Linked DNA regions of Xenopus tropicalis. The protein of the gene in region 2 purifies or fractionates together with the protein of the main gene of each other region. This does not show direct contact. Links are inferred from orthologs where the notes say so. Each region holds a gene or a part of one and is shown on either strand. Other genes may lie near its edges.

What was found. The genes of interacting proteins can lie anywhere in the genome.
Region 1: the proteins of bicd2 (region 2) and dync1i1 purify together in Homo sapiens (affinity purification with western blotting; 4 studies listed by BioGRID and IntAct, with this or other methods). This does not show direct contact. The link is inferred for Xenopus tropicalis from reciprocal best matches to the Homo sapiens genes BICD2 and DYNC1I1.

Annotation. Positions count from the first base shown.
Region 1 is NC_030682.2:33,434,307-33,440,819, forward strand, and holds part of dync1i1 (cytoplasmic dynein 1 intermediate chain 1), read left to right. Parts: intron 1-884; coding exon 885-1,018; intron 1,019-2,424; coding exon 2,425-2,569; intron 2,570-6,513. UniProt on the Homo sapiens protein: Acts as one of several non-catalytic accessory components of the cytoplasmic dynein 1 complex that are thought to be involved in linking dynein to cargos and to adapter proteins that regulate dynein function.
Region 2 is NC_030680.2:150,869,361-150,875,873, forward strand, and holds part of bicd2 (protein bicaudal D homolog 2), read left to right. Parts: intron 1-2,044; coding exon 2,045-2,257; intron 2,258-6,513. UniProt on the Homo sapiens protein: Acts as an adapter protein linking the dynein motor complex to various cargos and converts dynein from a non-processive to a highly processive motor in the presence of dynactin.

The DNA of each region.
Region 1 (6,513 bases), on a different chromosome or scaffold from region 2:
ATTCATGTCTTAGCAAATGTGCCCCTATGGGAGATGGGCTTTCCGTAATTTGGAGCTTTCTGGATAACAGATTTCCGGATAAGGGATCCCATACCTGTATTATTTATCTTTATTACCTTATTTATTATCTTCCAGACTTAACTGCCATTTAGTTGTTGGGAGGAATATTTTTACAGTAGTTGGGTAGTGCTGGTTCTGTACTGGAAGCTGCAGGACTGCGCCCTAATGTTGGTTTGCTGGATCCCATCATGTTCACTATAGCACCTTACCTGGATGTCATTCAAATTGGGTGCTTTTCCCACTGTGGTCACCTTCTACGGGTAGCAGACCAAGCCCATCAATTTTAAACAGCACTCCATCACTTCTTAATGACATCATAGCACAGTCCACAAACAACAATCAATGCTACTTTGGTATTTTATTAAGCACTTATATATCTATATATACAGGTATAGGATCTATAATACAGAATATTTGGACCAAAAGGTTTCTGTATAAAAGATCATTTGGATCTCCATACCTTAAGTCTGCTAAAATTAATTTAAAGATTAAATAAACCCAATACGATTGTTTTGCTACCAATATGGATTCATACAGCTTAGTTACCATGAAGTACAAGGCACTGTTTTATTATTACAGAAAAAGGAAATTGTTTTTATAAATTAAAATCACTGTATTAGCTTAAAATGGCATCCACTAATTCAGAGCTTTCTGGATAATGGGTCTATGGATAAGGCATTTTATACCTTTGATCATATACCTTTGTGCTCACATACTCAGTGCTCACATACTCAGAGCTCAAGAAGCGTGATTTTGATTTATTTAATAAAAGTCAGTTTTTTTCTTAATTTCAGTTATTCATATTAGCGGTTGTTGTGTTGCAGGAAAGCATGGAGCTTGTCTACAATAAGTCCAAACCTGTAGCTGTGACTGGGATGGCTTTTCCAACTGGGGATGTGAACAATTTTGTTGTTGGAAGTGAGGAGGGCACAGTTTATACAGCCTGCAGACACGGAAGGTAATACATTTTCTATACTGACACTCAGGACATCTCGGCTATGGTAAGTGGCAAAAATACCCTTTTTTTTAAAAATGCCAATAGCCAGTTCTTTTACAGTGTAAGTGTTAAATGCAAAACAGTATACAGAATCCCTTTAGGTAATGCTATGAGAAGAGGTAAAGTGGTATGCCTAAATGCCAGCTTTTTGTTTACAAAGTCCTTGGTAGTGATGAACAATTTTTTTTCGCCAGACATGGATTTGCTGTGAAATTCCACATTTCGCCATTGGCAAATTTTTTCATGAAACTGCCACAAAAATTCTCCAAAAATTTGCAGAGTGAAGAAGAAGTTGCAAGCATGTCAAAAAAAATTTGTGTGTTAGTCGCATTTTGTGAATTTTTCACGCTTTCACACATTGTTCTGCAGTTTCACAAATTTTTCTCTGAAGCAAAACATGACACATTTGCTCATCACTATATGCATAAGGATTCTGTCACATAATAGAATTTTGTGAAGAAAAAGTACCCATACTGTATGTTCCTGTGCTTTTGGAATTATCCCTTTGCATTCCAGCTATTGATCTGCCAACATCTTTCTTTTCTTTTCTCTTTAACGGTTATGGGCTCATTTACTAACTATCGATTTTTCATTTTAAACTCGATTCAAATTTTTTCGAAAAAGAGAAAAAATGCTTTTTTCCAAGATTTACTATGCATCTAAATCGCTAAAAATCCAAATTTGACAATTCGCCAGATTAAAGTTGCCAAGTTCATGTAGAAGTCAATGGCAGAGGTCCCTTTACTTGAAGTTCATTCTTTGGAAACTTTAGAGATTTTGCTGGGTTTTGTCCGTAAATTAGGATTTTTGCAGCGACATTTTGAAAAATTTTCTCACAGCGACTTTTCCTCGCGAAAATATCAAACATCCAGAAAAATGAATTTCGTGAAATTTGAAAAAAAGACAAATGAGAAATTATGGAGTTTCACTAAATCTGCCCCGTAGTTTTACCCCAACTATTGTACCTCTATATCTTTAAAACCTCTTTCATATGGAGAATCTTATACCTTTGTGAAAAGAAGAACTTCCAAAAAAGTTTTTTACTGTGAAGTCATGGCTTAAATCATAAGGTCTACAAGTCAAAGGATATTGCTGGACTTGATTCAGTGGCAAATGTTTTTATTGTATGATCAATGATTTCACTAGGTTCACCATATAAAGGGAGGTTAGGAGTGAGGCAAGGACCAGTGATGAGCAATTGGGTTGTCAAAATAAGTAAATAAAGGATAAATAATTCTTATTGGATTGATAGGATTGTTTTAAGTCAATGAAATAAAGGGCCAGATGGGTTGATTAGAAAGCCTAACCATGAAGGTACAACAGAGACAGACGACAGTTGTTCCTAAAATACAGTGTTCTTTATGCAGCAAAGCCGGCATCAGTGAAGTCTTTGAAGGTCATCAGGGGCCTGTGACTGGAATCAATTGCCACAATGCAGTGGGACCTATAGACTTTTCCCATCTTTTCCTTACATCATCATTTGACTGGACAGTTAAACTCTGGACAACAAAGGTGTGTATTTATAATAATATGCTATTTTTAACAATAACATTCATTCACAGGTGTCTTTTTTGAGCATGTTGGGCAAGGAATGATTGTTACTACTGTTGGTATTCTTGTTGGACATCATGCAAATGAGTCCATAATGCTCAGGCAGTGACTGGCCACACAGTTGCAAAAGGAGAACCTCAGCATAGTTCTGTCCTATTACTGTCCCTTGGCTTAATTTTCAAGCACAAACTTGATGGCAGATTAGATATCTGGAGAGCAAAAATGTGTTCTTTGTTATATACAGGGCCCAGTCCTCAGTGATGGCGTCTTTAAGCTTCAAGATTGTTTATTAAACTCATGGAGAATTCCATGGATATTTGTCCAGTTACAAATATTTTAATATGAAGTTTAGAATAGTTGGAGTGCCACAGATGTCTTAACTCTGGCTTAGAGACCATTTTGAATTACAAAGAGTTCAGTATGATTTATAAATAATGGGTGGTGCTGCTCTGGAATTTCTTATATCTAATGTCTTTCATATTTTATTATTTCTTTAATTTATCCTAAAGTTGTTGCCATAAAATATGGATGTGTTTTACGAATGTAACATCTGTTATATTTCACTACAAAAGTGCACATGTGAATTTTCCAAGTTTAAAATATGGGGAACATATCAGAAATTTGGCAATCGTATACATGACATTAGGTATTTATTAGAAAAGGGCTTCTGGATTCAGTAATGTGCTGTAAGTCCAGTGACTTATCATGTACTAAACTGGAAACACCCAGAACACCCCACAAGATCTCAAGCAAACAGGACTGTTATAGTAAATGAATGTCTCCAAAAAGACAATGAAGACATAAAAACAACAACATTGATCTAAAATGCAGAAACAATCTGCTTTTATAATGGAATTCAAAGCTCTAATTGATAGCAGAGCATCATATGAGCAGATTCCTGACATAATTAAGCTACCCCCAGTTTGGAACGTTACCATCATATGAAAAGGACATCCAAGCATTTTGTGTTCCATGCTAGCTTCACTGATGGTTTATGTGAATTTGTAGATGTGGTTCTGCTGTAATAAAAATTCTGGGCAATTTACTTTATATGTATATGCCTTAAGGATTATTTGATAATCGGCAACAGGTGGCAAGGCAAATAAAGCCAAGTATAAGGCGCCTGTTTTTCAATGGCTTCGGTTGATTTTTTTCTGGGGAAAATAACCTACAGTATGAATATAGACCTTACAGAAAGATAGGTCAACATGTGATCACTTTCTATATTCCTCATTACATTTTTCTAGCGGGTAATTAGATTAATTACTGCATCCCCATGAAAACTAAAGACTATGGTCGCATCACATTCCCTTATTATGCACAAAGTATCTTTATCAAGTAATTTGAGAAAAAAGTTGCCAAAATATCAAAAATATCATAGACTTCAGCTTCTTAGCAGTACTACATGGAAGAGTTATGGAAGAGCTAAAGTTGCATGCAATGTACAGTATAGAACATTGATCCCCAACAAGTTGCTCACCAACCCCTGGTATAGAGCATATGTGATGATGTGATCAATGACTATCACTCTTGTGGCCTAACTATATGCAGATACATACCTTACTATGGATTGACTCAATAAGAGTAATAGCAGTGGCTGTCCTGTCTATAGGCTTCCTGTCTGTTTCTGGTAAAATAATGATGGAAACCTTATTGGTCCTTGACTTTCTGGTGTTATATTCCACATATCATTTACAACAGCAACTGCAGTATGCAAAGTATAATTTAGGGTGCATTGCCATGTTTTTTTTCCCACAATGCAGCATTTTCCCCATCATTTCTAGCATAAATGCATGTACAAGGTGACAATGTGCCTGACACAATTGCAGTTCAGACATGCTGGGTTAATACAGACTGCTGTGTAAACCCTATGAGGGTGGAGCTAGCTCCAGAGTTGCCCTGCATTATTAGGTATACTGTGCATGATTTGCGAGAGGGGTAGGAAAGAATCAGTGGCACTAAGTGCAAATATCCGAAAGTGTTGTCTTTATGTACAAGGCTTAAGTAATAAATGCCATTATTTCCATGTCTTAATAATTCTCTTGACATTCAGTGCCCACATCAATGTCTTTTCCAGCAGTGCACTGGAATGTTACCACTTGAGAATAAGACATATTGATACAAATGAAAACCACAATGTATGCAGTGAATTAAGGCGAGGAAAACAAGCCAGTGCCATCTTTGAACACTCATTTAATTGGGTACTGTGACATTCAGGGGGAATAAGTGCAGTCCATGGCTGAGCTAGACAGAACTGTTGTTACAATAAAGTTTGCATATTGTAATGTTGCGTTTAAGAGATGTTCTTTGAGCTTGGTTTTACACATGCACAGAAATGCTCCTTGGCAAATGTTGACTTGGAAGGAGTTCCATAAATGAAGAACAGAAAGGCAACATGGTTTAAATCAACAAAAGACATTTGTTCTGTGTTTCTGAAAAAGGCTGGATTCACTAAAGCTCATTTATTATTGTTAATACAAAAGAGAGGCAACTAAACAATATCTGTTATTACATTTCATGCTAAACTTACAGTTACATAGAATTCTGCTTACTGCTCTCCTAAATAAGTTAAATGGTGCCTCTTAGGACCCATCAATGGAGCACTTGTGCCCTCTGCATTGGACTAAAAATCTGGTGCAAGGTGTAGAGCACATTGGTATCTGGTACAAGGGAAACCTAACTTATACGCCAGCCATAGCCAGGTAGTAAGTAAAGCTCTCTTGCATGCTTTTGTCAATTGCACTGCCTAGCTTGCATGTCTGAAAGTTGAACATACAGGGATTTGAAGGGGATGCCCTCATTCACCTATCACCTGCTCCCTAAGGATACAGTGCAGCCAAATCTGGGAACACAAAGAGCTCCGCCCCATAGGGCAACTAGAAGGCAGTGTGAAAAGTAAAAACAAATTGAGCTTTGAACCCTACTGTTTGGGGCAAAGAAAATAAAATACTGTAAGTAGAACCTTAAAAGTATGTCTATGAAGATTCTCATTCATCCAGGTCATGATATACAGTATCTAGTAGAATTAAGTCTAAAACAACTGGACTTTTCTGAGTTTTTTTTCTTGAAAACGTTTCACCACTCATCCGAGTGGCTTCTTCAGTTCAAATGACTGGTAGGGAATTCCCCGGTATTTAAACTCTTGATGGTAGTACAGTCACAGACATCCAATCACAATGGTTCCATTGAACTTGTTCAGTTAGGTGTTAGCTGAAACTGACAGGTGTAAGAAGGTATGATCCAATCACAATGGTACCAGCTTTGTACTGTCGCCTTTACCCAGGCGAAGCCACTCCATGCCTATATTGACTCCCAAAAATACACAAAGAAGGAGCCCCTTTGAGGCCAATTGTCAGCAGCATTAACTGTGTGACTTATAACATTGCTAAATACGTGGCCAACATCTTAGCCCCCTTAGTTGGAAACACAGTACACCACATTCAGAACTCCATGGACTTTGTCAAAAAAGTGAAGGAGTTAAAGCTGGAGATCGATGATACAATGGTGTCCTATGACATAACATGTATGTATGTATGTATGTATATCTTTATTTATAAAGCGCTACTTATGTACGCAGCGCTGTACAGTAGAATTCATTAATACAGACAGGGGGGTTAAAGATAATGGATAAATACAAAGTACAACAATAAATACAAATAAATACAAGGTACAGTTGCAATAAGAGTCAGAAACACAAGATGAAGGAGGTCCCTGCCCCGTAGAGCTTACAATCTATATGGGAGGGGTAACTAACAGACACAAATAGGCAAATATAAGCGCTATAGGTCACAGTGGGTGACATTACAGTATAAGTATAACATCTCTGTTCACATGCATACCCACTACTGAGGCAATTGAAACAGTGAGGAAACGGCTGAAACAAGACACCACCCCCAGCAGCAGAA
Region 2 (6,513 bases):
CAACAGGGGTTACTTTATTCACGATTACCCAGCGCTGGGCTATTAATATTCTGAGATTTGGTGTCGCATTGGTTCCTGGGGGGGTTGGAATTCGGCTGCAGGGGCCCCTCCTTGAAGGCACCTCAGTGCTGGATAAAATATATTTATTGGGCGTCAGGAAGAGCGGTTTCCCCCCTGGGGCCACTGTTTGTTCAGATCCAATAACAACTCGGCTGGTCGGCGGTTCCTGGTAATAAAGCAGTGATTGTAGTTCTGTTGCCGGGGGAGTTGGGGCAGAGAAGATGCAGAGATCTGGGTAAATATAGAGATAATTGTCACTTCCTGATTGGTCCATCCATGAGTGGCTGCGTACATATGGGCATCCTCGCTCCATTTCCCTTCCTATAATCCCCTGGAGCCGACGCCCACACAGGGTTCTGGTTGGACAAACTGAAGGGACAGGAAACGGTTCTATATCTATATATATCTGCCCCCCATTTCTGTACATTTGTTCTGCCCCCAATGCTGCCCCGAGCCAGGTGGCTTCCTGCCCTGTCCAGAGGGTCCCCCTAAATGATTTAGTGGTGGATACAGGGTAGGGCTGCACAGTTAGTTCCACTGGGCCCCCATGGTATAGGGCCCGAAGGGACCATCCCTCACCTAATATGCAGCACTGGCCTCACACAAATAACAAGGTTATCCTGCACATTTATTGCGGTGCATGTGGCCCCTGAAGGCGGCGGTGCATGTGGCCCCTGAAGGCGGCTGTGCATGTGGCCCCTGAAGGCGGCGGTGCATGTGGCCCCTGAAGGCGGCGGTGCATGTGGCCCCTGAAGGCGGCGGTGCATGGGGCCCCTGAAGGCGGCGGTGCATGTGGCCCCTGAAGGCGGCGGTGCATGTGGCCCCTGAAGGCGGCGGTGCATGTGGCCCCTAGAGGCGGCGGTGCATCTGGCCGCTGAGGGCGGCGGTGCATCTGGCCCCTGAGGGCGGCGGTGCATCTGGCCCCTAGAGGAAGAGGTGCATCTGGCCCCTAGAGGAAGAGGTGCATCTGGCCCCTGAGGGCGGCGGTGCATCTGGCCCCTAGAGGAAGAGGTGCATCTGGCCCCTGAGGGCGGCGGTGCATCTGGCCCCTAGAGGAAGAGGTGCATCTGGCCCCTGAGGGCGGCGGTGCATCTGGCCCCTAGAGGAAGAGGTGCATCTGGCCCCTGAGGGCGGCGGTGCATCTGGCCCCTAGAGGAAGAGGTGCATCTGACCCCTGAAGGCGGCGTTGCATGTGGCCCCTGAGGGCGGCAGTGCATGTGGCCCCTAGAGGTGGCGGTGCATCTGGCCCCTGAAGGCGGCGGTGCATGTGGCCCCTGAAGGCGGCGGTGCATCTGGCACATTATACTGTCCTGTTCTTTACCATGAGCTGAGTTTCGGTTGCAGCCAATCACGATGCCCGGCTGAGCAGTTAGCCGCATTTAGACAAAGCCGCACAGTTGGACGCGCACAGATTCATTTCTCACTGAAACGCGATGCATCTTTGATTTCCCAGGGGCCCATCTCTGAGTGCCGCTGAGTGTGAAGGGCACCGTGCCCCCCCTTATCTGAATGCCATCTGATGGGCACCGGTATCTGTTAGAGGGCAGACTGTGATGGTTTTGCTGTTGCGCTTAGGGAGCCATACGCCAGCCCTGTGCCTGTAACGAGACCAACCCAATATTTTTCTTGGCTTTTCTTTCCCTTTAAAGATAACATTACTCCTGGGAGCCATAGACATTCTTGGAAAGTTGGCAGAAAAGCCACATGAATAATCTCACCCCCTGGCACCTACCCAGGCATTGCCCTTATTTGCCGCCCTTTAGTCAAGTTGGCACAGCCGTACCCATCGTGCTGCTGGCAGCCAGGGAAACCACTAGCGTCTTGGAGCCAAACTTGCCCAGTGTGTGGCCCTTTAGATCGTTTGTTCCTTAGCTATGGGGGAGTTATAGTTCAGCAACATCTGTAAGGGGCCAAGTTACGTGTATGAGATGTTAAGGTTTGGCAATTGCTTTTCTAATTGGCCAATGTGCCTCCCTCCCTACAGGCCTTTGGTCAAGCGCATAGCAACCACAAGAAAGTAGCGGCCGACGGCGAGAGCCGCGAGGAGACCCTGATCCAGGAATCGGCCACCAAGGAGGAGTATTACATGAAGAAGGTTCTAGAGCTGCAAACAGAGCTCAAACTGTCCAAGAACGTAGTGGCCAACACCCTGTCTGAGAATGAGCGGCTCAACTCCGTGGCACAGGAACTGAGAGAGGTAGGTACCCACCTTATATTGTGTGTGGGGGGGGGTCTGTTATATTGGGGGACACAGAGGCGCTACAGGCACCCCCCCTTCATGAGCCCTTGGTCAGCTTTGGCCTATAGAGATGGGGCAAGATGGTGGCACCTAATAGTCTGTACCCACAGTGCGCTGGGAGTATGTCCTGAGCCAATGAGCTGCAGCATTAATAGCCCCTCCCAGGGACAGAGCATGTGCTGGGAATCCACAGAAAAACAAATGGGGGGCTTCAGGAGCATCTCTTGGGGCACATTTCCCTGCTAAAGGGGGGCCAATCAATAATCAATAATTCCCAAACTTTGGGGTTGGCTTTGCTCTATAGCGGGGTGACTGTTACCCCAATGTTTCTATATATCTGTAACCTTGTTATGGGCTAAGGGGGCCCAGCCTGAAGGCCAGTTAGGGGGGGATTTGGGGTGAGTGCTTATTTGTGCCCTGGGTACCCCTGGAACTATAGCGGGGTGACTGTTACCCCAATGCTATGAGCTGGGTGGGTGTGGGGGGGCTGTGCCCGTATATAATATAATTACACATATGTGTGGGGCAGAGGAATATAACAGTGGTGCCCGACTCCCTATATTCATGGCACAAAGTGGCACAGATGGGACTGTATAAGACTCAGACCCCCGCCCCCCCCCGCGTTACTCTTTGTATTCAGATAATGAAACAGTTTATTCTCCAGTTTCTGACTGTGGCCCCCCCCATTTGCCCCCCGGCGCAGCTAATAGCCGCTCTTGTTGCAGGTTTCCCTGATAATTGTGCTAATTAGCCGGGAGCTGATTGTTATGCTAATTCATTCTACATTAATTTGCACATATTGAAGCGTAATGTCAGGGCTGCGCCGGCGCCGGGCGTCTGATACTCATGCAAATGGGACGATGCGCTGGGGGCAGGACCGGCGCCCCCTCCCCATTGGTTATTATTGGTATCAGTCCCAGCCAAACATGGAGGGAAGGGGTCAGGGAGTTACCAGTACCATAACCCTGGCCCAATAGCTGATTGGGTGACTAGGGAACCTTGATACAATGTAGCAGAAGCCGGATAATTAACAGAATTGTGAAGGCGGATGCTTGCAGGGTATTGTGGGAAACGGAGTAGATAAACAGACCAGCTACATTGTTTCAAGAGTCAGAAGCAGCAGTGACGGAAACAGGAAGGGACAGGCAGACGGGGCAGACGGGGCTTTCAGTAGTGAGAATATGGAATACATTGATGTTTAGGTTTATGTCCCCTTTAAAATAATTACACATATGTTTTTCTCTGTGCAGAAAGTATTTCTGATATCCCCCCCCCCCCCCAAATCCTGGCAGTGTAAATCTGTAGCCAATAGGGGGGGGGGGGTGATGATGGGGGTTGTTCCTGTGGTGGGTGCTGTTCCTGTGGTGGGTGCTGGGGGTTGTTCCTGTGTAGGGTCTTGGGGGTCGTTCCTGTGCAGGGTGCTGGGGGTCGTTCCTGTGCAGGGTGCTGGGGGTCGTTCCTGTGCTGGGTTCCGAGGGGTTGTTCCTGTGCAGGGTGCTGGGGGTCGTTCCTGTGCAGGGTGCTGGGGGTCGTTCCTGTGCAGGGTGCTGGGGGTCGTTCCTGTGCAGGGTGCTGGGGGTTGTTCCTGTGCAGGGTTCCGAGGGGTTGTTCCTGTGCAGGGTTCCGAGGGGTTGTTCCTGTGCTGGGTTCCGAGGGGTTGTTCCTGTGCTGGGTTCCGAGGGGTTGTTCCTGTGCAGGGTGCTGGGGGTCGTTCCTGTGCTGGGTTCCGAGGGGTTGTTCCTGTGCAGGGTTCCGAGGGGTGGTTCCTGTGCAGGGTTCCGAGGGGTCGTTCCTGTGCTGGGTTCCGAGGGGTTGTTCCTGTGCTGGGTTCCGAGGGGTTGTTCCTGTGCTGGGTTCCGAGGGGTTGTTCCTGTGCTGGGTTCCGAGGGGTTGTTCCTGTGCTGGGTTCCGAGGGGTTGTTCCTGTGCTGGGTTCCGAGGGGTTGTTCCTGTGCAGGGTTCCGAGGGGTGGTTCCTGTGCAGGGTTCCGAGGGTCGTTCCTGTGCAGGGTTCCGAGGGGTCGTTCCTGTGCAGGGTTCCGAGGGGTCGTTCCTGTGCTGGGTTCCGAGGGTCGTTCCTGTGCTGGGTTCCGAGGGGTCGTTCCTGTGCTGGGTTCCGAGGGTCGTTCCTGTGCTGGGTTCCGAGGGTCGTTCCTGTGCTGGGTTCCGAGGGGTCGTTCCTGTGCTGGGTTCCGAGGGGTCGTTCCTGTGCTGGGTTCCGAGGGGTCGTTCCTGTGCTGGGTTCCGAGGGGTCGTTCCTGTGCTGGGTTCCGAGGGGTCGTTCCTGTGCTGGGTTCCGAGGGGTCGTTCCTGTGCTGGGTTCCGAGGGGTCGTTCCTGTGCTGGGTTCCGAGGGGTCGTTCCTGTGCTGGGTTCCGAGGGGTCGTTCCTGTGCTGGGTTCCGAGGGGTCGTTCCTGTGCTGGGTTCCGAGGGGTCGTTCCTGTGCAGGGTGCTGGGGGTCGTTCCTGTGCTGAGTTAGTTAGGATAATACAAAGCACAGCCCCCCAAGCCCCCCAGCAGAAGCTAAGCTGGCCGGGAGTTTATTCGGCTCTGACATGGGGGGGGGGGGATCGGATATTTCCGCGCGGCACTAATCCTTTAGCCGGATGAGCAGCGACGTCCTGACTGCGAGTTAATTACCAACGATCAGTCCCTTTCCTTAACGAGCGAACTGTTAAACGATTTAAGCACCTCGCTATGGAACATGTAATTAAGCCCAGTAACTAATTCTCTCCTATTGGGGTTTCTCCCTGAGGATGATGGGAGTTGTAGTTGTAGCAACAGGGCCCACTTGGTACAGTTCTCATTGGTTGGTGGGATTAAACCATTAAATTGAAATGAATGGCTAAAGGTGTGGCGGAGAGAATCCTGGTTGGTGAGTGATTGCCTGGCACAGCAGGGCAGGGATTGTGCTGCGGGCGTGAGGAAATCCCCACCAGAGGGTGCTGTTCTGTTACAGTCTAGGGAAGGGCTCACACTACTCCTTGTTTTATATTAAGTTCCCATTAATATAATAAGTGGGAGAGACTCCCCGACACCCTTCTGTTGGTGAATTTTTCACATACTTTTTGCCACTGGACCTGCAGGTTGATGGGATGGGGCCCCCGGGGGAATTCCTGAGGGCGATTGGCATCTTTATTGGGGGGCTCAGTGAAGTGACTTGGGATACAAAGGAGGGACACGGCTGGGATCCTAATGAGCCGAATCTGGCGGCTGCACCGGCTGGGGCTGTTTGGTGACTGATGCACTAAGGTATGCCAAGGGCTGCGGGGAGTTGTAGGGAGGGGGCTCACAGGGTAACTGCCTGCATGTGCTGCTTGTGAACAGAGATGGATTATTTGTAGCAAAAGGGACTTTCTGGGGCCCCAACTGCCCAAGTAGGAACTGTGGCCTCTCCAGCCAGAAACTCCCAGCACATATATATATATGTGTGTTACTGTGCCAGCTTCCCTGCTGCCAGCTTCTTTCACAGCAATAGATTGCCCCGCTGTAACCAGCCTGCCCTGTCTGACCCCCATACCCAGCCACCTGCCCCCCCCCATACCCAGCCTGCCCTGCCTGACCCCCGTACCCAGCCACCTGCCCCCCCCATACCCAGCCTGCCCTGTCTGACCCCCGTACCCAGCCTGCCCTGTCTGACCCCCGTACCCAGCCTGCCCTGTCTGACCCCCGTACCCAGCCTGCCCTGTCTGACCCCCGTACCCAGCCTGCCCTGCCTGACCCCCGTACCCAGCCTGCCCTGCCTGACCCCCGTACCCAGCCTGCCCTGTCTGACCCCCGTACCCAGCCTGCCCTGTCTGACCCCCGTACCCAGCCTGCCCTGTCTGACCCCCATAACCAGCCTGCCCTGCCTGACCCCATACCCCAGCCTGCCCTGCCTGACCCCCATACCCAGCCTGCCCTGCCTGACCCCCATACCCAGCCTGCCCTGTCTGACCCCCATACCCAGCCTGCCCTGTCTGACCCCCATAACCAGCCTGCCCTGCCTGACCCCCATACCCAGCCTGCCCTGCCTGACCCCCGTACCCAGCCTGCCCTGCCTGACCCCCGTACCCAGCCTGCCCTGCCTGACCCCCATACCCAGCCTGACCATAAGAAAGAGTGGTAGTGAAGTTATGTGATTTGGCTGCACCCCAGCACTAGAATGGGGGTGATGGGACACTGGCTCTGTTCCAGAGGGGGAAATGGGGGGTCGGACAAACAAGGAGCCGGGCAG